Linked DNA regions of Callithrix jacchus. The protein of the gene in region 1 interacts with the protein of each later gene in a biochemical or structural test. Links are inferred from orthologs where the notes say so. Each region holds a gene or a part of one and is shown in the gene's direction. Other genes may lie near its edges. The genes, in order: ERBB3, BCAR3, TNS3, SYK, NRG2, ITK and RNF41.

Region 1 (3,437 bases):
CCTATAATCCTAGCACTTTGGGAGGCTGAGGCAGACAGATCACAAAGTCAGAAGTTCGAGACCAGCCTGGCCAACATGGTGAAACTTCGTTTTTACTAAAAACACAAAAATTAACTGGGCATGGTGGTGGGTGCCTGTAATCCCAGCTACTCTGGAGGCCGAGGCAGGAGAATTGCTTGAACCTGGGAGGCTGCAGTGCACTGAGTTTGTGCCATTGTACTCCAGCCTGGGCAACAAGAGCAAGACTCCATCCCCCGCCTCCCCAAAAAAAAGGTAGTGAACAACCCAATCTCCTTCTTTTTTTTTTTTTTTTTTTTTTTTGAGATGGAGTTTCACTCTTGTTACCCAGGCTGGAGTGCAATGGCGCGATCTCGGCTCACCGCAACCTCCGCCTCCTGGGTTCAGGCAATTCTGCTTCAGCCTCCTGAGTAGCTGGGATTACAGGCACGTGCCACCATGCCCAGCTAATTTTTTGTGTTTTTAGTAGAGACGGGGTTTCATCATGTTGACCAGGATGGTCTCGATCTCTTGACCTCATGATCCACCCGCCTCGGCCTCCCAAAGTGCTGGGATTACAGGCTTGAGCCACCGCGCCCAGCCTCCAATCTCCTTCTAAACAAATGTCACTTCTTTCTTGATCTGTGTAAATCTCCTTGCATTATTTTTGGTTTATTTTCTTTCTTAGGAGTCTGCAGTTTCTCAGGGCAGTGAATGGTGCCCCCGTCCAGTCTCTCTGCACCCAATGCCACGGGGACGCCTGGTATCAGAGTCATCAGAGGGCCATGTAACAGGCTCTGAGGTTGAGCTCCAGGAGAAAGTGTCAATGTGTAGGAGCCGGAGCAGGAGCCGGAGCCCACGGCCACGTGGAGACAGTGCCTACCATTCCCAGCGCCACAGTCTGCTTACTCCTGTCACCCCTCTCTCCCCACCAGGATTAGAGGAAGAGGATGTCAATGGTTATGTCATGCCAGATACACACCTCAAAGGTGCCTGCTCTTCCTAGGGCTTTCCTCAGTTCTTCCTCGAATTCTTTCCCCAGGCTCCTCTAAATTATTGTCTTCTCTGATGATATGCCTCTCTATCCTATTCATTTTTTCAAACTTTCCCCTACCCCCATGAGGTTCTTCGCATACCTAGCCTTTCTTCTCTACCCTCAGGTACTCCCTCCTCCCGGGAAGGCACCCTTTCTTCAGTGGGTCTCAGTTCTGTCCTGGGTACTGAAGAAGAAGATGAAGATGAGGAGTATGAATACATGAACCGGAGAAGGCACAGCCCACCTCGTCCCCCTAGGCCAAGTTCCCTTGAGGAGTTGGGTTATGAGTACATGGATGTGGGGTCAGACCTCAGTGCCTCTCTGGGCAGCACACAGAGTTGCCCACTCCACCCTGTACCAATCATGCCCACTGCTGGCACAACTCCAGATGAAGATTATGAATATATGAATCGGCAACGAGGTGGAGGTGGTCCTGGGGGTGATTATGCAGCCATGGGGGCCTGCCCAGCATCTGAGCAAGGGTATGAAGAGATGAGAGCTTTTCAGGGGCCTGGACATCAGGCCCCTCACGTCCATTATGCCCGCCTAAAAACTCTACGTAGCTTAGAGGCTACAGACTCTGCCTTTGATAACCCTGATTACTGGCATAGCAGGCTTTTCCCCAAGGCTAATGCGCAGAGAACATAACCCCTGCTCCCTGTGGCACTCAGGGAGCATTTAATGGCAGCTAGTGCCTTTAGAGGGTACTCTCTTCTCCCTGTTCCCTCTCTCTCCCAGATCTCAGCCCCATTTCCCCAGTCCCAGACAATTCCATTCAACCTTTGGAGGCTTTTAAACATTTGACACAAAATTCTTATGGTATATAGCCAGCTGTGCACTTTCTTCTCTTTCCCAACCCCAGGAAAGGAGGTTTTCCTTATTTTGTGTGCTTTCTCAATCCCATTCCTCAGCTTCCTCACAGGTATTTCTGGAGATATGAAGGATTACTCTCCATATCCCTTCCTCTCAGGCTCTGACTACTTGGAACTAGGCTCCTAGATGTGCCTTTGTTTCCCATCAGACTGTCAGGAAGAGGAAAGGGAGGAAACCTAGCAGAGAAAAGTATAATTTTGGTTTATGACTCTTAACCCCCTAGAAAGACAGAAGGTTAAAATCTGTGGAGATAAAGGTTAGGAGTAGATATTGATTACTTTTATAATTCAGCACTTAATTATGAGCCAGGCATCATACTAAACTTTACCTACATTATCTCACTTAGTCCTTACAACAATTCTGTGACATACATATTAACTCATTTTACAAAAAAGGGAAGCCGGGCGTGGTGGCTCAATCCCGGCACTTTGGGAGGCTGAGAATGGGAGGATCACTTGAGCCCAGGATTAGAGATAAGCCTAGGGAACATAGCAAGACACCATCTCTAATGGGGAAGGGGGGGGAAACTGAGCCTAAAAGAGATTAATTAAGCAGTAGGTCCAGAATGCAAAATCCTCCCAATTCCTGTGCATGTGCTCTTAACTGTAAGTGCCAAGGAAAACTGATTTAAGTCACAGCCCTTGTAAGGGGCAACGTTTCTTGTCTGCACTGAATCAAGTCTAACCCCAACAGCCACATCCTCCTCATATAGGAAGACATCTCATCTCAGGAAGTGGTGGTGGGGGTAGTCAGAAGGAAAAATAACTGGACATCTTTGTGTAAACCATAACCCACGTGCTGTGAATGATCTTTACTCCTTATCTGAGGGCAGATTCACAAGGATTCCCCCAAGATTCACTTTTAGGAGCCATTCTCATCCCAGCAGTAAGAAGCTTCCAGGTAGGATAGAAAGAAGACCCAGTTTCACGCCTCTGTTCCTTTGGATGGGGAACTGAGGGAAAATATCTGTTGTATCACTGAAATGTTTTGTTTTTATACATGTCTGAATAAAAATGCCAAAGTTTTTTTCAGCTTCCTGTCTGTCAAATGAAAACATTTCATATGTTAGATAGATCTCCTCAGCAGAGGACAGTCACCTTTCTGTCTTCTGACAATGCTACTCCGTCCCATGCAGCTTTCTCTAGTCCTATTATTACTTGTATTTCTTTAGAACAAGCATAGCTTATAGTCCTTTGGGGTTTTAGTAGGAATCTACAAAGCAAAAACAATTGAGAATAACAAAAACAAATAACCCACGTGCTTGGGGACTTATAAAAAGCACTATATACGTGTCCGGTCTCCTTCAGAGGCCAAATACTGAAACCTCTACGTGTTTCTGAATTCATTCTTAGAAAAGTCACCAAATCTTTTTATTTTGTTTTTTCACAGTAAGCGCTCTCAACAAACATCTGTCTTTCTGAACACTTCCCTTAAGTGCTCCATCCAGCCTGTTATTGGAACAATGTCATGTTACTTCTTTAAGGAGTCCAGCCTCTAGATTGGGAGGCCTTTAAATGGATGATCCCTCCGG
Region 2 (3,500 bases), on another chromosome or scaffold:
AAGTTGAAAATTGATGGTAGAAAATATAGATAGCAAAAATAAGGAAATTAACTCTTATCTGTAATTCTCCTCATAATTCTCCTGAAGATAACCACCGTGAACACTTTTGTGTACATATATTCTCCGGGGCTTTTCAAAATCACGTATGAGATTGTACTGCATATACTTTTTTGGTAGCCCATTCTACTCACTTCCTGGAAATTTTCACCCACTATAAAATATTCTTCTGTACCAGCCTATGTTGTATGCCTGTCCATGGTATGCATGCATCACAATTTACTGGACACATAGGGTGTTTCTAACACTGTGACCAACATCCTTTAAGAGTACTATGTTCATACCTGTAATTATTTTCACAGACTCAACAGGCCCAATTCTGGTTTTTTTGTTTTTTGTTTTTGTTTTGAGACAGAGTCTTGCTCTGTCACCAGGCTGAAGTGCAGTGGCTCAATCTTAGCTCACTGCAATCTCCACCTCACGAGTTCAAGCGATTCTCCTGCCTCAGCCTTCTGAGTAGCTGGAACTACAGGCGTGCACCACCACACCCAGCTAATTTTTGCATTTTTAGTAGAGACAGGGTTTCACCATGTTGGCCAGGATGGTCTCGATCTCTTGACCTTGTGATCCACCTGCCTTGGCCTCCCAAAATGTTGGGATTACCGGCGTGAGCCGCCATGCCCGGCCTTCACAGGCTCAATTCTAAGAAATGGAATTTCTAAGTGAAAACATTTTTAAGGCAAAGATGCAATTTCGAAGTAACCATGGTAGCCTACTGTTTTAAGCTAACAGAAGTATACTGTTGATCAAATGATGGAATGTCTCAGAAAAATTGTCAGAGTTATAAAACTGGTGACTGTCACCACTGTCCTTCTCCTTATCATGGTCATTAAATTTGTTTAGTACTTGCCATGAGTATGAGTATAAATTTTCAGCGATAAATCATTCCAAACTGGGTAACTGGACACTATAACCATAACCATCATAACAAGAGTTATTGCTAACATTTTAGCTCCTTAAATTTTTTTAGTCATCCTGTAGGTAATATTATCATTTGTGTTTTTCAGATAATGTAAATTAGCCACAAGGAGATTATGTAATTTGTCCAGAGTCTTACAGCTGAGCCAGGATGCGAACCCAGGTGGTTGAGGCTACAGGAACAGCCAGACTGCACCACAGTCTAAATTCTCCAGTTGCTGTAAGCAGCAGCATCATGCGAGTTATTTTTGAGCATCCACTGTGTTCCAGCGCTTGCATGTATTATGTATACAAATGCATAACCCTTATAGTAACTGTGAGATGAGGGACCCCAGCCTGCCGGCCTGACTTAGTTCCAAGCCTTCTAGCCAGTAGTCGGTGTGTCCTGCACACGGACTCCTCCTCTGAGAGGGCTCCGAGGACGACTTCTAGACACCAACAAACACCTTCTTTCTCCTCACTCCACCTGTTGGGGAAGGAAAATCAGGCCTGCCCGACAGTTTCTAATTTCCTGTTTCCTGGTGCATTACGTCATTCAAGTCTATATACACATCATGTTCTTGTGACACTTCCCCACCCACCCTATTTTACTGGACAGCCCTCATCCCCTGCCCAGCACTTCCTGTCTCCTTTCCTGATTTACTTTTTCCCTGACGTTACATCTGACATACCATAGCCATTGGTTATTTATCCTCACTAAAACAGAAGCTCCCCACCAAACACAGGAGCTCCATGAGGTGGGCTCTTGTGTGCCACTGTCACCCCTGCAGCAGTGCTTGGTGCAAGTAGGTGGTCAGTCAGTAGTTCCTGAATGAATGATTGGATCTTCTATGAATTTGACCTTTGAAAAACGAAACAGCTGACCCAAGAAGAAATAGTAGCATTGCCTTCCATTGGCCCAGAGAAGTGGGTAGCCATAAGCTTTTAGAAGGAATGTGATTTTGCCTTTCCTACTCCTCACTCACCTTTTTGTCCCAAAGGTGTCTGAAAACCTTGTGCAGCGAGATGGCGACTTCCTAGTTCGTGACTCTCTGTCCAGCCCTGGGAACTTCGTCCTAACCTGTCAGTGGAAGAACCTTGCTCAGCACTTCAAAATCAACCGGACAGTTCTGCGGCTCAGCGAGGCATATAGCCGCGTACAGTACCAGTTCGAGATGGAGAGCTTCGACTCCATCCCCGGCCTGGTGCGCTGCTATGTGGGCAACCGCCGGCCCATCTCCCAGCACAGTGGTGCCATCATCTTCCAGCCCATCAACAGGACGGTGCCCCTGCGGTGCCTGGAGGAGCGTTATGGCACCTCCTCAGGCCGGGCCCAGGAGGGCAGCCTCACCGAGGGACGGCCGGATGTGGCCAAGAGGTTGAGCCTCACCATGGGTGGCGTCCAGACCCGAGAGCAGAATTTGCCCAGGGGAAACCTCCTCAGGTGGGTCAAGGCCTCCTCTGCAGTTGGCATAGGACCATGAAAGGCACCAGAGGTGCCCAGACATAGGGAGATGAAGAATTCATCATGGAACAGAGAAATAAGTGATATTAATAGGAATGCCGACTGTTCATGGAATAGCTGTTACGAGGCATTGCACTATTAGCTCCCATCTGAGCAGTGCCAGCGATAAATGTTACAGGAGCTGAGGAAGGACAGAGGGGGTGGCGACTCCCTCTTCACAAGAGACCTTGTGAAGGGGGGTTAAGCTTGGGCTGGTCTGATGGTTGGGGAAAATTTGGATAGATGCTGCAAAGCGGGGGAGGTGGGAGGCGCAGCCTGGGCATAAGTCTGGGGATGGAAAATGGCATGATCTTGGAGTGAGTGTGCTGGTGGGGCTGGAAGAGAAGGTCTGTGCAAGGTACCTGTAGCAGTGGGCTTAGGGAGTTAGCCCCAGCCAGATCGTGGGGGCCTTAATGCCAGGTGCAGGGCTTTGAGGGAGCTGCACAGACTCAGCAGAGTGAACGCAGATGTCCTAAGAATAGAAATGGACAGCAACATACTGGGGGCAAGGAGTGAGACACGAACACGAAAGCCAGTTAGTGAATCATGGAGGGGCCTGGCCTCCCAGGCCTCTAATGCACGTGGCGGAGTAGGAGGAAGGCACATTGGAGGCAACAGGAGTGACCAGGAGGGAGGGGACTCTGGAGGAGAAACATACTTTTTCATCTGAGCTGGAAGACTATGGACTTGAATGCCAGAGTCCAGCAGGAGTTTTGGGGTCCAGGAGGCCATTAGGGCTGAAGACAAATTAGGGCTTGGTCCACGTGGAAAGGGTAGTTGACTTGGTGAAAACAAATGAGATTTCTAAGACAGGAGATGCAGAGAGCATGGGGGCTATAGTGTGAACCTTGGGGAATGGGGGCAGAGAAGGATTTAGAGCACTCGGTGGAAAATCAGGGCTTCAGAACATCGCTGAGCCTCGGCGCCCAGCTGTTAAATGTCAGCAGTGGTGACCTGCATTTGTTTAGGGCCTGTCTTTCACAGAGCTCAGGGTCCTTGTGCACATCATCTAAATGCACTGGGAAAGGAAAGGAGGGAAAAG
Region 3 (3,500 bases), on another chromosome or scaffold:
CTGGAGTGTATGGCTTACTGCAACCTCTCCCTCCCGGGTTCAAGTGATTCTCCTACCTCAGCCTCCTGAGTAGCTGGGACTGTGGGCGTGTGCCACCATACCCAGATGATTTTTATATTTTAATAGAGATGGGGTTCCACCAATCCATTCAATTTAATAGGAATTTGCTACCAGGCCCCTAACTGATGCTCAACAAGTGTTAGGTCTATAGATGGAAGCTCTTTGTATAGGGTGAACAGTCCATTCTCGGGGATTTATGAGCTGAGCCCAGTTCAGCATTCATAATCATGATGAAACTAACAATGAGCCCTCAAGGCAAGATGATTCAGAAGCTGAAGAATCCCAGAGCTCAGAATGACAGTTTGTTCTGCATGGAAAGGTGGAAATGATTCTGGCGCCTGAAGATGTTTGTTTCTTTGCATTCCTTTTCGTTGGCATGCTCCAGAGTATGTGTAGAACTTTGATCTTAGAGGAGTCTTTGTCCCTGTTTATCGTTAGTCATCTTTTGAATCCATTTATTTGTTTGGACAAATGCACACACTCATTCTGAAGGTGTGAGGCTGCCTTTCATCCCTCTCTCTGCTTTTCTCCCCCGCAGTGCTACACACGCAGGGCCCTGTTGATGGCAGCCTTTACGCGAAGGTGAGGAAGAAAAGCTCCTCGGATCCTGGCATCCCAGGAGGCCACCAGGCTGTCCCGGCCACTGGCAGCCCAGACCACAGTGACCACACCTTGTCTGTCAGCAGCGACTCTGGCCACTCCACAGCCTCTGCCAGGACTGATAAGACAGAAGAGCGCCTGGCTCCGGGAACCAAGAGGGGCCTCAGCGCCCAGGAGAAGGCCGAGTTGGACCAGCTGCTCAGTGGCTTTGGCCTGGAAGATTCTGGAAGCTCCCTGAAGGAAATGACTGATGTTCGAAGCAAGTACAGCGGGACCCGCCATGTGGTGCCGGCTCAGGTCCACGTGAATGGAGACGCTGCTCTGAAGGACCGGGAGACGGACATTCTGGATGACGAGATGCCCCATCATGACCTGCACAGTGTGGACAGCCTTGGGACCCTGTCCTCCTCGGAAGGGCCGCAGTCGGCCCACCTGGGCCCCTTCACCTGCCACAAGAGCAGCCAGAACTCACTCCTGTCTGATGGTCTCAGCAGCAACGTTGGTGAAGATCAACAGGGCACCCTTGTTCCAGACCTGGGCCTTGGCATGGACGCCCCCTATGAGCGGGAGCGGACTTTTGGGAGTCGAGAGCCCAAGCAGCCCCAGCCCCTGCTGAGGAAGCCCTCGGTGTCCCCACAGATGCAGGCCTATGGGCAGAGCAGCTACTCCACCCAGACCTGGGTGCGCCAGCAGCAGATGGTGGTGGCTCACCAGTATAACTTCGCCCCCGACGGGGAGGCCCGACTGGTGAGCCGAGGCCCTGCAGACAACCCTGGCCTCGTCCAGGCCCAGCCAAGAATCCCACTCACCCCCACCCGAGGGACCAGCAGCAGGGTGGCTGTCCAGAGGGGTGTGGGCAGTGGGTCACATCCTCCTGACACACAGCAGCCCTCTCCCAGCAAATCATTCAAACCCAGGTTTCCAGGCGACCAGGTTGTGAATGGAGCCGGCTCAGAGCTGAGCACAGGCCCCTCCCCAGGCTCGCCCACCCTGGACATTGACCAGTCCATTGAGCAGCTCAACAGGCTGATCCTGGAGCTGGATCCTACCTTCGAGCCCATCCCTACCCACATGAACACCCTTGGTAGCCAGGCCAATGGCTCTGCGTCTCTGGACAGCATGGGAGGCGGGCTCCGGGCAAGCAGCAGGCTGCCTGACACAGGAGAGAGCACCAGCAGGACCCCCGGGCGTCAAGGTGAGCTGGTGCTCCACGGGAGGTGCTCCACGGGAGGCTGACGTGCGATGAGAAATCAGCCTAGTAGGTTAGCTTTTGGCAAAACCCACAGGGGAGAGGGAGGGACATTTCCCTTGCAGTTTTGAGTCTTGTGAATTTTGGCCTAGGATCGAAACATGCCAAACACACCAAAACATGCCAATGTGGGAAGCCTAGGCCATGGCCTGCTATCATGCTGCCATGGTCCCTAGGTAGCAGATCGGAGGGTGGGAAGAACGAGGCAGAAAGCCTGCTGTTATGTTAATGTCAGGGTGTTATGTTAAGCACAGGGGCAGGGACAGCATGCAGATCTGCTGGAAAGGGCTGTCCATGCCTTCACTGCAGAATGGGCCTAACAGTGAAACTATTCTCCCTTTGTGAAAGTTAGTGGATGAACTAAGGAAGCATACTTACCTCTTCCCCTGTGGTGTAGGTCAGGGCTTTGTGGAAGAATGCCAGTTACCTCAGTGGGGCTGAAGGTTGGGGATCAAGAGGACTGCTGAGCCCACAGACAGCTTTGGCACATGGAAGTGATTAAGCAGTCATGGTGTACAACGTGTCGGTGCTGGCCATGGTGGTGTGTGGAGACTGTTTATGGAAGGCAGCAGCTGGGCGGCCTGGGCTCCACAAGAGTTTCTACCATGGAGAGCAGCTCAGTGATGGGAGGGGTTTTGGGAGCAGGCTTGGGTCGGGGGGCTGAGAGCTGTCGCGGCACCCAGAGCAATGGAGCCAGGTGCAGGGGCCTCCGGGGGATGCCCCAAAACCAGGTGGGGGTTATGCTAACTGCAGGGAGGCCAGGACTGCAAGTGTCCTTTCCCCCTAAGGCTGATGGTTTAGAAACCGGCACAGGGCCTTTGTGCCTAGCTTTGAGGTCTGGGAAGAACCAGGACTGGCAGTGATGGACAGACAGTGACCTCTGCCTGGTTCACAGCAGCACTGTGTCAATGTAATGGGGCATGTTGGGACCAGGTTACTATATAGTGTTCTTTCTGTTGGTGAGGCATGAAGGCTGAGAGGACCAGAGAGCCAGAAGTGGTCAGGTCAGCCAGGGAAGACAGCAGGCAAAGAGGGGTGCTGGGATGGAGCGGGGATGTCTCAGGTAGGGACCTGTGTGGGCGAGGGTTGTGGGGAGATTGTGTGGTCCTGCACAGAGGTGCATGCCAGGAGAGGACAGCCAGGCTGTAGCTGCAGGAGGTGGAGAGACAGAGCTGTGTTCTGGGAGTCCCGGTAGTGATATGCAGGGACCAAAGGAGGACCTTGGGCCAGAGAATGTGGCATCCGTGTGGTGCCAGGCTTCCCACATTGGCATGTTTTGGTGTGTTGGTTTCTGGAGGCCGCTGGCTCCTTAGAGGGGCCTGCCTCTAAAAGTGAAGATCAGAGAGGTAAAGGACGAGAGAACATCACTGGGTGACGCCATGCATGTGATTCCCACCGTGTGCTGGTAACACGAGAGATGCTGTCATTTATGCCAGCGTGGTTCTTGGTTTAGGTGTGCTGGCCCATGTCATCTTCCTAAGCACCCTGGCTGCGGGCACCACACCAGTCCCTGCCTTACAGTCATATTGACGGAGGTGTCAGTATATGGCCCACCCAGGTTCACATGGGACCTGCACAGCAGAGTAAAAGT
Region 4 (4,137 bases), on another chromosome or scaffold:
GACTTCTATATTTGAGTCCTTGTGGATGAATTGTAACCTAGCTTTAACAGGCAGGCAAGACTGAAAATCTAACTTAGGAGTATGAGGCCTGTAACAACAGCTGAGTCTTGGCCAATCCCAGCGGCCATACTTCAAACACTCATAAACTGCTAAGTATTCAAACAAGGCAAACGCCAACTTGTAACCAATTCAGCTGTTTCTCTACTTCACTTCTGATTTCTGTCCATATCTTCCTCTTTTTTTGTCTGTGAATTTGTTCTGACCATGAGGCATCCCTGGAGTCTCTGAATCTGCTTTGATTCTGGAAGCTACCCCATTCCCAAATCATTCATTTCTCAATTAAACTGATTTAAATGTAATTCAGTTGAAGTTTTAACAGGTTTAAAAAATTAATTGCAAAAATGAATTAAAATCTAATAACGCTGGAAACAGAAAAGGCTGAGGGCTCCATTAAGTATAAACAGTCCCATCTTTATAATTTCTCCATGGCAATTACAATCCAGCACATTATACGTATTTTATTTTGCTTCTCGCATTTTGGCTCAGGGTAAAGCTTTTTAAAACAGACGCTGCCAATCGGTTTTATCAAGAAGGTCTGGATACCGTTTTTGTGGGAACATTTTAAAGAGGAATGTCCAACAGGAAAAGGAGGATAATTGAGAGAAGTGTATCAGGCAGATAAGTCAACACCGTTTTTAGGACTATAGGAAAGGATTACGTTTAATTTATTTGGCTGTAGACGTCAGAGCCGTCGTGTTACAAAGAAAGCAGTCTTTAGTAATAAGCCCTCAGAAGCAGCGCGCTCCATTGCCCACTAGTGCTCCGTGAAGTCTGTTGTTCACCTACCGGGCCCCTCAGCACTGCCCCGGCCTCCTGAGTGCTCCAGCACGGTGGCTTGCAGCCTGTTGGCTTGGTGACCCAGATACCCCCTCCAGGGACTATGCCCTGCAGTGGAGTCTCTACCCCATTTGCTGCACAGCAAATGGAAAGGGCCGCTGAGTGTTCCTGGGTCCTGGGCAGTAAGAGAAGTTACCGCGCTGGCGGGGATGAGGGCAACCGATGTGGTTCGGGTCGCGGGCAGTCCCACCTTCCCTGCCTGCGAAGGGCCCTTACCCGGCGGGAGGAGAGCGGCGCGCCGCACCTGGATTCCTCTGCCGGTGCAGCCGCCTAGGCGGATCCCGCGGGCCGGCCCAGCGCTCCAGCCCGTGCCCGCCCAGCTCCGGGCGCACGGGCGCGGTCAGCAGGGCGGGCCAGGCGGCGGGGCGCGACATCGGGAGGAAGTGCGGGCCGCCTGCCCGGGCGCGTTAAGGAAGTTGCCCAAAATGAGGAAGCGCCGCAGCCGGGCGGCTGAGGCCACCCCGGGCGGCAGAAGAGCGAGGAGGAGCTGGCGGCCCCGCGCTGCGCCCCGGCTGAGCCCCGGCTGCGCCCAAGCGCCAGTCCTTGCCTCACCTGGCGCAGGTAGGTGTGGCCGCGTCGCCTCCCCGGTGAGAATTTTCTGGTGAGCGGAGGGGGTTTCGGGGGATGACGCGCCGCGTTCATGCCCTTTCTTGTTCTGCCTTTCTCGTGTGCCCAGTCACACCGGGAAGGTGCCCGCAGGGCCTTCACTGCGGAGGGAAAAGTGCTGAAACTACGTGAATAAATACGGTGGGGTCCGCCAGCCTCGCTCCTGAATCTGCCGGCTCTCGGGATCCAGAAGCTGCGCCGGGAGAGGGGCCCGGGCCTGGGCGGAGGGGACAGAGGTCTGAACCTGCGGAAAGTGACCCTGGACTAGAGCGCGGAAAGTGCGGTCGCGGCCCCGCCGGGGGAGACGCGAGGCTGGGATGAGGCACAGAGCGAGGAATTTGATCTTGGAGCTAGAACAGTGTCCTTTGTCCATTTACACCAATCCATGGGGGAAATGCCGCAGTATTGATCAAAGTGACTCAATGTAGAAATGTCCAGATGTCTTATAAGCTAAGACAAATGTTTTACTGCAGAAAGAAACAGCAGTTGCATTCAAACACCAAACTTTCTGAACCACTACTAAAATTTAGCATAATTACTCTGGTGAATACATTTTCATTGTCAAGTAATTTACTTAGCCAATGAACCTGGAGAGCAAGAAAGTTTTACGTAGTAAAATGTAAACTTGAGTTAAGAGGTAAGGTGATTCTTTGTTTTTTGGTTTTGTTTTTGTTTGTTTTTGGCAATACAGCTCCAAAACCTTAAGCCTACCTGAAAACTATACAAATGCGATAGCTTCTTTGGTTTTTTCAACGTTCAGGGACTAGAAAGACAATTGGAGAAGTGGGAGTTAGAATCTTTTTTTACGTTGGAAACGCTGTTGCAAAATATTTTATGAGTTTTGCCTGACTTACCGAAGATTCAGTTGAACTCAAGTAGAACTGTTGACTGGAAGTTTTTCTTTTTCGTCTTCTTCTTTTTTAACCTTCAAAGCATTGCAGTCTGTAGCAAAACAAGGAGTTGGAGATATGCCATATCTGATTCTTCATATTAAAAAATAAAAAAGGAATCTTTTAATCCCTGAGAATTCCTGGAAGGAATTGAATTGATTCTAGAATCTGACTTCGTCTTAGTAGGGACAAATTCATTGCCTTTACACAGGCAGCATTTTGATTGAATGCAACTAAATACATTGATGTCCTTCTCCCCAATGAAAGTCTGAGCAGTGCATAGATAGAATTACATTTGAGCTAAAAGGTTTAAATACATGTAAATTATTAAGTGTTTAAAGTGAGAAATCTTTGTCAGTGAAAATTATTTTATCAAATCACTTTGTTCTATCCGAATGGCACTTTTAATGTACTTAGAAAAATCTTGCATTAAAATAGAAACTTATTTGTCTTACCCCCTGTATTTGAAGTGCACTTTGAAGTGTATTTGAATGAGAGATTATAATCAAATTGCTTGATTTGTGTCTTATCCTCTTACTCTTCTTCCTTGGATTTGAACACTAGGAAAAAAGAGATTTTTTTTCTACTGAGGTATCGTGGGGAGACTTTTTTTAAAAGCCTCTGTATTTGAAGTGAAATATACAATAGGATTTTAGAATAGTCTTAATAACCAGAATGCTTTAAGCTAGGATAAAGATGGGGTGTATACTTTAGGTCTTTACCTTTCCTGAGAGATGAAATTGGTAGAAACATTATTTTATTGCTAGATTTGCACTTGAGAAATGATTTGCCTTGATCTTTGTTAGGCCCCTATATATATTCTAAATGCAGGTCTAATCATTCTGTTTTTTAAACTGATGTCTTCTTAGTAGAACTTCACTTATTTAGCACATTGTTTGCCCATGGTTATTATCCAGCATGCTTGTGCCAAAGTGTATTTTGGAATTCAAGCTTTTTCCGAATTTGGAATTAAAATATAGAACTAAATTTTAGAATTGAGAAAGACATCGCTCAGAATTTAGGGAGGTAAACACACATGTTGATGCTGCTGATTACTTGCCATTCCAGTATAGTCTGGAGAGAATCCTGTAATTCCACGCATTAATATTTCTGCACTTTCACATTTAACAACATGCATATTCTCAGTAAGTGGAAAAATGAAGACTATAAATAGCTGTGTGTCTGTTTAGAGCAGGTGGTATCACTACAAGAGCTTCTCTAAAATTTACCAAAAAGAAAAAAAAGGCTTGTTTTTCAGAGTTTTTTAGAGCTGGAGATGATGGACTCAGTCTGTATTAGACTCCACTGAACTATGGTTTGCTTTTGAAAGCAAAGTGCATTCATATTGCTCAATACCTCACACTTTCCAGTAATTAGAAGGGCAGTTCCTCTCCCTTAAGGGAGTCTAAAATAGCAAGATTTTACTGAATTTTCAATCATATCGATCAAAATAAAGGTTCTTCAAGTAAGAGCGGATGTTTCCTTTGTAATATAATTTTGAACAGCGGAGTTTCTGACAGGCTACGATTTTAGAGAAAGAGAGCAGAAGTTACTCACAAAAGGGGTTACCGTCACCCTTTACAGCTGCAGTCTGTCCATGGAAGAAATTTTATTTCCTGTTAACTTTGCAACCAGCTGGGTTTGTGTTAGTTGTCTACACCTAAGTGATGGCTAATTTTTACTTTCTCAACTTTCCCTGTATAGATGTATAGACATTTTTTCCAACTACCCCCTGACTTTTCTA
Region 5 (3,500 bases), on another chromosome or scaffold:
AGGGCCTTGGATGCCGAGCTAGGGATTCTAGGTTTAGCCAACAAAGGTACATCTATAATCTTTGTTGGAAAAAGCCAGACTCCCTAGCTCAGCATCCAAGGCCCTATGACCTTCTGATGGGCAGAAAGATGACGGGTTTGTAACAACTGTTCATATTTGGAGAGCAAGAGTCTAGACCGGATGGAGCCACCATTCCAGGGACTGAGCCCCTCGTCTGGACTCATGCTGCCCCAACTGTGGCATCTGAGGTCCTCCTGGCCTTGTCTTGGATAAATCCAGGACCAGAAAGTCTCGAGGAGGTTGAGGAGGGAGTTGGGGCCCAGTGAGCCCAGAGGAGACTAGGCCCAAGAGGGAAAATAGTCCAAGAATTGCAGAAAAAGCAAGCCGCCTGTCCTGCCCCCACTGCATTTTCTCATTTCTTCAACAGACACTCATTTGGTGCCTGCTGGACACCAGGCCCTGCCTCAGACATATGGCCAGTGCTCTGAGCAAGTGGTCCAGTATCACAGGACACCTTTTAGAGGCACCTAAGCTGGGGAGCAGCATTTAGGCCAGGGCCTGAGAGGTGAACAAGAGTTAGCAGGTGAAGAGGAAAGTATTCCAGGTGAATGGCCTAGCATGCGCAAGGCAGGAGGCCAGAGAGGGTGGGGCACGGTGGAGGATCAGAAATAAACTCACCACGGAGGAGCTAGCTGGGGCGCCGTGTGGGCAGCAAGACACAGGGCTGGGAGAGAAACAGGACACTAAGGCCCAGTAAAGGGGTTTCATTTTCATTTTTGCAGGTACATAGTAGGTGTATATATTTATGAGCTACATGAGATATTTTGATACAGACACGCAAGGCATAATAATCATATCATGTAAAGTGGGCTAGTCATGCCCCCAAGCATTTATCCTTTGTGACCTTGAGCAAACTGATGGGTCCTCCTGGACCTTTGTGTTACAAGCAATCCAATTACACTCTTTTAAATGTACAACTAAATTATTATTGACTATAGTCACCCCATTATGCTATCGAATACTAGGTCTCTTTTATTCTTTCTAACCACTTTTTGTACCCATGAACCATCCCCACCTCCCTCCCAACCCCCACCTCCCTTCCCAGCCTCTGGTAACTATCCTTCTACTCTCTATCTCCATGACTTCACAATGAAGGACCCCTTCATTAAACAGGGGAGTTACATGATTAGATTTATTATCAAATAAATTGAGCATTTAATATGTGCCAATCTAAAAAAGTAGCCCCACAGCTAACCACAGCACCCTGTTTACTTTCTTTGTGGCACTTTACTCAAAGTATCTAGTTCATTTCTTTGTTTACCTATTTACCATCTGCTTCCTCTACTGGCCTACAGGCTTCAGTAGGGCGGATACCCTATCTACCTATCTATCTTCTCTGCTCCAAAACAGTGTCTGGCACATGGTGACACCTCAATAAATACCAAATGAATGAATAAGAGAGAGAGGGAGTCAATACACACACACACACACACACACACACACACGATAGATAGATAGATAGATAGATAGATAGATAGATAGATAGACTCTTGTTCTGTCACCCAGGCTGGAGTGCAACGGCGCAATCTCGGCTCACCGCGACCCCTGCCTCCCAGGTTCAAGCATTTCTCCTGCCTCAGCCTCCTGAGTAGCTGGGATTACAGGCATGTACCACCATGACAGGCTAATTTTGCATTTTAAGTAGAGACAGGGTTTCTACATGTTGGTCAGGCTGGTCTCAAACTCCTGACCTCAGATGATCTGCCTTTCTAGGCCCCCAAAAGTGCTGGGATTACAGGCGTGAGCCACGGCACCCAGCCTTGAATATTTCATATACTTTTAATCATCAATAATCTTTGGAATGGATAAAGGATCACCCTGTTTTATAGATGAGGAAAGTGAAATGTGGAGAGCTTAAGTAACTTGCCCAGGATTGCATAACTAGAAATCAATGAAGTTCTACTTTCTGAGCAGAGCCAAAGCTCACTGCCATGACGCTCAGGTCCTGCTGGATTCAGGGAGGTGGTGATGGTGTAGGGGCAGCTTGAGTACAGGGAAGAACAGCAGCCCTGGACAGGGGGAAAAGCTGTTTCCCTAGAGAGGCAGCTCCGGAAGTTCATCACTGGTGAATTGGGGGAATACCAGGCTCACCTTCCCTTCCCTTGTGCAGAAAACAGAGGAAGCAGATGCATAACCACCTCCGGCAGAACATGTGCCCGGCCCACCAGAACCGGAGCTTGGCCAATGGGCCCAGCCACCCACGGCTGGACCCAGAGGAGATCCAAATGGCAGATGTGAGTGGCTTTCCCGGGCCCCCTTCTGAACTCCCAGTGGATAGCCAGCCTTCTCATGCCCCCTGCAAGGATGGGCCAGGGCAGCCGCCAGCCTATCCCATGGCCAGCCTTTCCTGCTAGGCACTGCCTCACCAGGATGGCTGGCTTTGCTTTGCTCACTTTCATCAGGAAGGGGTGGGGGTTGATTTGCTGGAGCTGTCACTGCCCCAGCATCATGTCACTCTCACCCAGTGGGTCTCCCCAACCAAGAGCTCAGTCAGTGCTCATCACATCCCTGTCCCCAACAAGAAAAGTTGATTTAGGCCACGGTCACTAACTCTCACCCAACTCTCTCCATTCCAGTATATCTCCAAGAACGTGCCAGCCACAGACCACGTCATCAGGAGAGAAACTGAGACCACCTTCTCTGGGAGCCACTCCTGTTCACCTTCTCACCACTGCTCCACAGCCACACCCACCTCCAGCCACAGGTAGGCACCACCAAAGCCCATGGAAACCTGAGACTCACAAACTTCATCTGGCACAAAGCGCCCACTTAGCCAACATCCAGAGCTACTCGATACCCTCTCCTGAGCTTGCCACAGGAATCACAGCACACCTTAACCTCCTCTCCAGAACTGCGAAGGCTGATCCACACAGCACAAAGGCCCAGACAGCTCAAAAATAACATGGCTGGCTCCCTTCTTCCCTGGGAGCACCAGGAAATAGGGCCCTCACATACTGGCCCCTGGGGCTGGGCTTCTGAGATAGGAAGCTAAGGACCACAGTGGTGGAAGGGTCCCACACAGGGGGTTTAAGGTAAGGCTAGGGGAGGCTGGTTGCAGGGAGGAAAGAAATGGGTTTCTGCACATTAAAACTCACTCATCCATGGGACGCCAGCCCTCCTTCTTCCAATATTGGGGCTGGGCATTTGCAACACTCTACATCACCCCAGAGTGGAGAAGGGCATTGAGCTAAGGGAGCTGGAGGTGGAAGAAGAGCCAGGGAGGTCCATGGAACCACACCTGCTGGGCGCCCTGCCCCTTCCTTACCCCTCACCTCACCCCATCTGGCTTTCCCAGACACGAGAGCCACACGTGGAGCCTGGAACGTTCTGAGAGCCTGACCTCTGACTCGCAGTCAGGCATCATGCTGTCATCAGTGGGTACCAGCAAATGCAACAGCCCAGCGTGTGTGGAGGCTCGGGCAAGGCGGGCAGCAGCCTAC
Region 6 (3,500 bases), on another chromosome or scaffold:
CATCAGCACGCTGGACTTTGTTGTATGTGTTAAGGTTTTTTCATCCTAATTAGCAGTGTGCTATTCTGAACAAGTCAATCTCTTTGCACTTCACTCAATATTTTCATCTATTCGCTTCTCCTCTATGCATCTATGTCTTAAGGCAATCATTCTGAAACCATGTTTTAGCAGCAGCGCATATTCAAAACAATTTTCACTAAAAATTCTGGTATCTTGGGTGATAAACACTCTTATTTAGGGTCAGGTTGTCAATTTCCAACTCCTGAGGCACCTCTGAGTAACCCCTAGCGATTCTGTTCCACTGGGTCTGGGCTAGGGCCCAGGAATCTGCCACTTGAACAAGCCTCTGAAATGATTTTTATTCGGTGTTTTGGGAATCATGCTTTGGGAATGTCTACTCTAAGATTCTCTGGAACGAACCTTGAAAAGTGCTGGATTAGGTGATTTACAAGCAGTCTTCCTGGTCTGACAACCTGTGACTATATCAGCACATGATAAGGACAAAGCTGACAATTCTACTAAGGGCAGAAGAAGAAAGGAAAAGAATTAAATCAGAGGTCAAAAACAGATAAGCCAAAGATGTATTTTGCTTGGTCTACATGGTGTTTTTAAAATTCAAGAAGTTCACCTCTTAATTTTTGACTTCCTTTTCAAAAATCAGAAATTGTAACAGTTCTGATCCCTCATTTTCATATGCCATACTTTGGCTGGAGTCAAATCATAGCTGTCTCCTTAAGACGGAGCTGTTTATCTCATTTTCCACAATTCCCCCTATCATACTTCCTGCACTCCGTTCATTTACATATTGCACGTTGGCATTTGAGTCTACAACTGTTAGTGGCAGCATTTGAGTTTGATATAACAAAGGGTCCATCTTGAAAATCCTTCTCCACTAGAAAGGTTGGAAATTTCAGTTCTTTAAAAATAGGACAGGGCTAATAAACCTCAGGTAGACTTGATGTACTTCTGGAGGTAGCACATGAATCCTAATGCCAACGAGTCTGAAATTTCTAGGGGGAGGTTGCTTTGTTTGCTGTCTGTGGGCTTTGTCATTCACTGTGCTGTGCATACCATTTCTCATAGGTGTGCTGATGTGGGAAGTTTTCAGTGAAGGCAAAATCCCATATGAAAACCGAAGCAACTCAGAGGTGGTAGAAGACATCAGTACTGGATTTCGGTTGTACAAGCCCCGGCTAGCCTCCTCACATGTCTACCAGATTATGAATCACTGCTGGAAAGAGGTCAGTGGAGGAAGTGCTTTCCCCTGCATCGTCATATACAATTTCAGGACCTGCCTCCTTCCCTAGAGAAAGTAACCCTCTCAGAAGGCTAAGGCAAGAGGGATGACTCATATAGATTAACAACAACATGACTTTGAGGGTCTTTTAACAGGATAGATCCCCCATCCCTAATGGAGCTGATGGTGACCTTAAATATTATTTTGTTTACTATATAATGTCACAAGCCATAAGCATAACTTCAGAGAGGAGAATGGGGTGTGACCTATGCCAACTTCCTTCTCAATTTTCTGAGAAAAGAAATAAAATCTGTGACATCATAAAACCATTAAAAGTACATGAAGTTAGTTCTATAACTTGGGGAACAAAGTTCACTCACACTATGAAAATATTGAAATGGATTAATTTGAATTCATTTTATTCATTCAGCAATTTAAAATGGGGAGCCACTTCCTTTGTACCCACCTGGCTGGCTATCCCATCCTTGGATTGCAGGCCATGGGTTGAGCCCCATCAGCATGAGTCTTAGATGGTCTTTGGTGAGTTAGAAAATTGTACATTTCAGCCAAAGTGGAAAGTTGCTGAAATAGAGAATTAGTAAAAATTCACATCATTGTAGGACAACAAAGTGGAATACAGACAATTTAGAACACTAGGATTTTGTCTCAGCTTTACCATTTATTTGCCATTTATCTTCAACAATTCTCTGAACTTCCTTTTTCTTACTGTTAAGAGAATTAAATAATGCTTGATGTATGGGTTCATAGAGCCTTTATAATGAGGAACAAAGAAACAATAAAGTCATAAACAAGGGCATGAAACAAATCTTATCCACTTCATAAGGATTAACTACAATAATAATAATGACAGCTGATGTTCAGTTGGCACTTTTTCCTCTTTTAAACATCTTTTGTTGATTTTTTAAATTTATAGACTTTATTTTTTAACAAAGAGTACAGAGTTCTCAAATACCCTCCTCACCTGAGCAGTTTCTCTGTTCACTAAGATTTGGCAAGTGTGTGATAATTTGTTACAATTCATGAACCTTTATTGATACATTATATTAACTAAAGTTCATAGTTTATGTTAAGGTTCAGTCTTTATGCTATAGATTTCTGTAGGTTTTGATAAATGAATAATGCCATGTATCTGCCATTATAATATCAGACAGAATAGTTTCACTGCCCTAAAAATTTCCTGTGCTTCACACATTTATCCCTCTCCTCATCCCCAAACCACTGGCAACTGCTGATCTCTATAATGTTTCCATAGTATTGCCTTTCCCATAATGTCGTATATTGGCATCATACAGCATGTATGCTTTTCAGACTGATTTCTTTCACTTAGTAATATGCCTTTAAGGTCCCTCCATGTCTTTTCATGGCTTGATAGCTCATTTCTTTTTGTTGCCAAATAGTATTCCATTGTATGGATATACCACAGTTTGCTTATCTATTTACCTACTGAAGGAAATCTTGGTTGCTTTCAAGTTTTTTTATTTGTTTGAATTTTTGTTTTGTTTTGAGATGGGATCTCAGTCACCCAGGCTAGAGTGCAGTGGCACGATCTCAGCTCACTGTAACCTCTGTCTCCCAGTCTCAAGTGAATCTTCCACTTCAGCCTCCCAAGTAGCTGGAACCACAGGCATGAGCCACTATGCCCAGCTAATTTTTTGCATTATTGGTAGAGACAAGGTTTTGCCATACTGCCCAGATGAGCTCAGGCAGTCCACCCATCTCAGGCCTCCCGTAGTGCTGGGATTACAGGTATGAGCATCCAGGCAGACTGCTTTCTTTCACTTAGTAATATGCCTTTAAGGTCACTCCATGGCTTTTTAGCTTGATAGCTCATTTCTTTTTATTGCTAAATAATATTCCATTGTATGGATATACCACAGTTTGTTTATTTACCCACTAAAGGAAATCTTGCTTGCCTTCAGTTTTAAGCGATTATGAATAAAGCTGCTATAAATGTTTATGTGCAGGTTTTTGTATGCACATAAATTTTCAACTCGGTTGGGTAAGTGCCTAAGAGTATGCTTGCTGAATCATATGGTAAGGCTGTGTTTAACTTTTTAAGAAACTGCCAGAATGTCTTCCAAAGTAGCTCTACTATTTTACATTCGCACCAGCAGCGAGAGTTCCTCATTAGCATTTGTTGTTTTGGATTTCAGTGGTTCTAATAGATGTGTAGTTATATTACATCATTGTTTTAATTTGCATTTTCCTAATGACATTCAATGTTAAGAACATTTTCATATGC
Region 7 (4,035 bases), about 140 kb from region 1:
ACAATCTTGACTCACTGCAACCTCTGCCTCCCTTGCTCGAGCGATCCTCCCACCACAGCCTCCCTAGTAGCTGAGACTACAGTGCGTCCCACCACTCTCGGCTAATTTTTATATTTTTTTGTAAAGACGGAGTTTTGCCATGTTGCCCAGGCTGGTATCGAACTCTGACTTCAAGCGATACGCCAACCTCGGCCTCCCAAAGTGTTGGGATTACAAGCGTGAGCCACTGCACCCGGCCATACTACTTTTATCTTACTTGATCTGAGTCCCCTCTAGAGGATGGCAGAAAAAAGGCTTGAAACTTCAGTTCCTTTTGGGACCTGTCAAATTGTCCACAAAAGATAGCTAGTTCTGTATTGTTGTGTGTAAACAAATTACATAGAGATATGTGGGTGTGTGTGGGTATGTGTATCAATGTGCACTAACATTGCTTAGCCAATGTCCAAAATAAATGCCATACTATTTAATACCAGATTAGCCTAAGAGATAATGTAATTGTAATGCCTTGGTTTGCCTAATGAATCCCTTATCTTTTCATGGAGCTCTTTAGGCTCCACATTGACTTCCCTTGGATCCCAGGTTCTCTACCACCCACACCCCAACACCATGGTGTTGTAAGCTAAGGAAATCAAACTCCAACTCAGGAAGAGGGAAATTTTCTCTCCCTTCCTTCTTAGGTGTTTCAGGGAACTCCTCAAGTGATCGAGGAGACATCGTGGATATGGGAAGAGTGCGCCTGGGAGAGAGGCAGACAACCCATTGAGCACCCCGGATCTAAGCTTTGCAGTCGGATTCCCTCACTCCCCACCCCGCAACCGCCTTGTTAACTGCAATATCCATTCCCATGACAGGCGTCAAGGGGTCACGAGGCTCTGGGATGCCGACCAGGGCTCTGGAAAAGGGAGAGGGGCTGGACCCACAGCCGGTCACGCTGCAGACCAGCCTCTCCGCAATGATCTCCCACCAATCCGCGTCAGCTCTGGGACACAAGTCACGTGATCCTTCCAAAGCGAAGCGTGGCCGGCCAGACCCACCCGTTCTTGTCGGGAAGAACACAGAGTTCTTCCTCCCAAATGGCTATATAGTCCTGACAGAGACCACAAAGACTTCCTGTCTAGAGCGGAGGCCTGGCTAGCCTTCGTCTCTCCTCGTAGGTCGCTCGTGGCTGCCCGCGTAGGGAAGGAGTTAAACAAAGAGGCGGGGTTTGGTGACGAGCTTCCGCCGGGTTGCGTAGCAGCGGTGGGCGGGGCAAAGGATCCGCCAGAGACGGCGACGAGTGGTCGGAGACTTCTTTCCCCTCTTTCCCCTTTCCCTTCCCTTCCCGGGAAAGGCTGGGACCCGGCATCAGGGCAGACCTGTGGCCGCTGCGGCCTGAGCTCCAACTGGGCCAGGGTGCGGAGTGTCCAGGGCGGTGCGTACTGCGCCTGCGCGATCTTCCACCTAAAAGAGGGTGTGGGAGGGGAGGAGGTGATGTCCCAGGGGTATTGGGGCAGGGGGTTGAAATACTGGGGTTCAGGAGGAGGGATGTTGGTAAAGACGAAAATGGGGGAAGGAAGCAGCACTGGCGAGGAGTTGGGAGGTGAGAAAGGGGCTCTGGAGATTGGGTTGTTGGGGAAGGTCCATTGGAATAGGGGAGCTTTGAGAAGTGCGGGAGGGGGCCGGGGCTAGCTGGAGGACCGGCAGCTGCGGACCTAGAGGAACAACGTAGTGTTTAAATGGGCAATGATTGACGGACCAGAAGGGGAGGAAGGGAGCATTCCGGGGGCTAGCCTGGGCAGGGGCGGTGGAACCTAAACCCCCGCCCTCGAAGCGCCATAGCTTGGCTCCTCTCCCATGTCTTGTCTTTGGCAGCCTTGTCCTCTCATTCCTTCCCCGTTCCTCTCCCCCTCCTAGCCCTCCATGAAGAAATCTCACATTCTTCACATCCCTGCGCTTAGTTTGCAGCCTGGCCCTCTGATAGGCTTCACACACCACACACTGGAAGGCCTTCCCAAACCCAGGACTTTGGGAAATTGGGGAGTGGGAAGGAGGGGGCCAGAGGAAGAGCAGAAAGCTAAGAGGGTTAAGGGCGTTTTTCTTGAGGAATTGACAGACTCCCTCCCCATTCAGAAACTTCCTTTCACCTAATAACAAGTGGGGTTGTTAATGAGGCCACTGTTCTTGGGGACTGGCCCGTGATAGTGTTAGCCCTTTCTAAGAGTGGTTTTAGAGTCTGACAATAGGGCAAGAGGCTGAGAGTGTTGTTGGCTGATAGTTTTGCCCCAAATAAGAATGGGGTGGATTCGTGGTAGGGAATGTGAGTAATGCAATGTTACTACCTTGCATGTCCAGCCCACCTGTGGCTAGGCCTACCTTCTAGTAAAAAGAAGGAACAATCTTCTTTTAAGCATTTCCTCTCCGACTCTCAGTACTTTAAATTTATTTATTTTGCCTTTTTTTGTTTTTTGAGATTGAGTCTCACTCTTGCCCAGGCTGGAGTATAGTGGCACGATCTCAGCTCACTGCAACCTCCTTCTCCTGGGCTCAGGCGATTCTCCTGCCTCAGCCTCCCGAGTAGCTGGGATTACAGGCACCCGCCACCATGCCCAGCTAATTTTTTGTATTTTTAGTAGAGATGGGGTTTCACCATGTCGGCCAGGCTGATCTCAAACCCCTGACCTCGGCCAGGCGCAGTGGCTCATGCCTATAATACTAGCAATTTGGGAGGCCGAAGCGGGTGGGTTGTCTGAGCTCAGGAGTTTGAGACTAGCTGGGCAACACAGTGAAACCCCATCTCTACTAAAAATATGAAAAATTAGCCAGGTGTGGCTGTATGCACCTGTAGTCCCAGCTACTCAGGAGGCTGAGGCAGGAGAATTGCTTGAACCCAGGAGGCAGAGGTTGCCATGAGCCGAGATTGCGCCACTGCACTCCAGCCTGGGCGTCAGGGTGAGACTCCATCTCCAAAAAACAAAAACCATCACCTCAGGTGATCAACCCACCTTGGCCTCCCAAAGTGCGAGGATTTCAGGTGTGAGCCACTGCACCCGCCCTTATTTTGCATTCTGTTGTTACAAATAATATCTCACTTGAGGATGACAGTATTCAGTATCCTTTCATGTTTATGTATTTATTTATTTATTTTTGAGACGGGGTCTCACTCTGTCACCCAGGCTGGTGTGCAGTGGTGCAATCTCTGCTCACTGCAACCTCTGCCTCCTGGGCTCAGGTGATCTTACTGCTTCAGCCTCCTCAGTAGCTGGGACTACAAGCGCTTACGCCACCATGCCTGACTAATGTTTGTATTTTTTGTAGAGACAAGGTTTCACTATGTTGCCCAGGCTGGTCTCGAACTCCTGGACTCAAGTGATCCATCCACCTCAACCTCCCAAAGTATTGGGATTACAGGTGTGAGCCACTGTGTCCAGCCTCCTTCCATATTTATTATTTCACTTGATTTACAGGACAGTATGTATAAGGTGTGTGTGTGTGTGTGTGTATGTGTATGTGTATGTATGTGTATACACACATACACACCTTATATTAGGTGGGGCTCAGTGGCTCACACCTGTAATCCCAGGACTCTGGGAGGTCAAGGTGGGTGGATCACATAAGGCCAGGAATTTGAGACCAGCCCAGCCAACCTGTTGAAACTCTGTCTCTACTAAAAATATAAAAATTAGGTTAGGAGATTGAGACCATCCTAACAAGGTGAAACTCATCTCTACTAAAAATTCAAAAAATTAGCCGGGTGTGGTGGTGTGCACCTATAGTTCCAGCTACTTGGGAGACTGAGGCAGAAGAATCGCTTGAACCCAGGAAGTAAAGGTTGCAGTGAGCTGAGATCACGCCACTGCACTCTAGCCTGGGTGACAGAGTGAGACTCAGGCTCAAAAAAAAAAAAAAAAAAAAATTAGCTTGGCATGGTAACATGGGCCTGTGATTCCAGCTACTCAGGAGGCTGAGGCAGGAGAATAGCTTGAACCTGGGAGGTGGAGGTTGCAGTGAGCCGAGGAGATCACATCACTGCATTCCCTTCTGGGTGAAAGAGCAAGG

The links.
Region 2: the proteins of ERBB3 (region 1) and BCAR3 form a complex in vitro, tested with the Homo sapiens proteins (2 studies listed by BioGRID and IntAct, with this or other methods). The link is inferred for Callithrix jacchus from reciprocal best matches to the Homo sapiens genes ERBB3 and BCAR3.
Region 3: the proteins of ERBB3 (region 1) and TNS3 form a complex in vitro, tested with the Homo sapiens proteins (2 studies listed by BioGRID and IntAct, with this or other methods). The link is inferred for Callithrix jacchus from reciprocal best matches to the Homo sapiens genes ERBB3 and TNS3.
Region 4: the proteins of ERBB3 (region 1) and SYK form a complex in vitro, tested with the Homo sapiens proteins (2 studies listed by BioGRID and IntAct, with this or other methods). The link is inferred for Callithrix jacchus from reciprocal best matches to the Homo sapiens genes ERBB3 and SYK.
Region 5: the proteins of ERBB3 (region 1) and NRG2 form a complex in vitro, tested with the Homo sapiens proteins (2 studies listed by BioGRID). The link is inferred for Callithrix jacchus from reciprocal best matches to the Homo sapiens genes ERBB3 and NRG2.
Region 6: the proteins of ERBB3 (region 1) and ITK form a complex in vitro, tested with the Homo sapiens proteins (2 studies listed by BioGRID and IntAct, with this or other methods). The link is inferred for Callithrix jacchus from reciprocal best matches to the Homo sapiens genes ERBB3 and ITK.
Region 7: the proteins of ERBB3 (region 1) and RNF41 form a complex in vitro, tested with the Homo sapiens proteins (2 studies listed by BioGRID). The link is inferred for Callithrix jacchus from reciprocal best matches to the Homo sapiens genes ERBB3 and RNF41.

What each region holds. Positions count from the first base shown.
Region 1 is NC_133510.1:63,567,254-63,570,690, reverse strand, and holds the end of ERBB3 (receptor tyrosine-protein kinase erbB-3), read left to right. Parts: intron 1-685; coding exon 686-986; intron 987-1,157; coding exon 1,158-1,681; 3' UTR 1,682-2,937; downstream 2,938-3,437. UniProt on the Homo sapiens protein: Tyrosine-protein kinase that plays an essential role as cell surface receptor for neuregulins.
Region 2 is NC_133508.1:131,469,609-131,473,108, reverse strand, and holds part of BCAR3 (breast cancer anti-estrogen resistance protein 3), read left to right. Parts: intron 1-1,955; coding exon 1,956-2,398; intron 2,399-3,500. UniProt on the Homo sapiens protein: Acts as an adapter protein downstream of several growth factor receptors to promote cell proliferation, migration, and redistribution of actin fibers.
Region 3 is NC_133512.1:14,907,565-14,911,064, reverse strand, and holds part of TNS3 (tensin-3), read left to right. Parts: intron 1-598; coding exon 599-1,855; intron 1,856-3,500. UniProt on the Homo sapiens protein: May act as a protein phosphatase and/or a lipid phosphatase. Involved in the dissociation of the integrin-tensin-actin complex. EGF activates TNS4 and down-regulates TNS3 which results in capping the tail of ITGB1.
Region 4 is NC_133502.1:74,892,307-74,896,443, reverse strand, and holds the start of SYK (tyrosine-protein kinase SYK), read left to right. Parts: upstream 1-1,337; 5' UTR 1,338-1,458; intron 1,459-4,137. UniProt on the Homo sapiens protein: Non-receptor tyrosine kinase which mediates signal transduction downstream of a variety of transmembrane receptors including classical immunoreceptors like the B-cell receptor (BCR).
Region 5 is NC_133503.1:38,224,789-38,228,288, reverse strand, and holds part of NRG2 (pro-neuregulin-2, membrane-bound isoform), read left to right. Parts: intron 1-2,170; coding exon 2,171-2,294; intron 2,295-2,636; coding exon 2,637-2,764; intron 2,765-3,355; coding exon 3,356-3,500. UniProt on the Homo sapiens protein: Direct ligand for ERBB3 and ERBB4 tyrosine kinase receptors. Concomitantly recruits ERBB1 and ERBB2 coreceptors, resulting in ligand-stimulated tyrosine phosphorylation and activation of the ERBB receptors.
Region 6 is NC_133503.1:20,008,514-20,012,013, forward strand, and holds part of ITK (tyrosine-protein kinase ITK/TSK), read left to right. Parts: intron 1-1,083; coding exon 1,084-1,241; intron 1,242-3,500. UniProt on the Homo sapiens protein: Tyrosine kinase that plays an essential role in regulation of the adaptive immune response. Regulates the development, function and differentiation of conventional T-cells and nonconventional NKT-cells.
Region 7 is NC_133510.1:63,425,816-63,429,850, forward strand, and holds the start of RNF41 (E3 ubiquitin-protein ligase NRDP1), read left to right. Parts: upstream 1-1,235; 5' UTR 1,236-1,411; exon of another isoform or gene 1,412-1,579; intron 1,580-4,035. UniProt on the Homo sapiens protein: Acts as E3 ubiquitin-protein ligase and regulates the degradation of target proteins. Polyubiquitinates MYD88. Negatively regulates MYD88-dependent production of pro-inflammatory cytokines.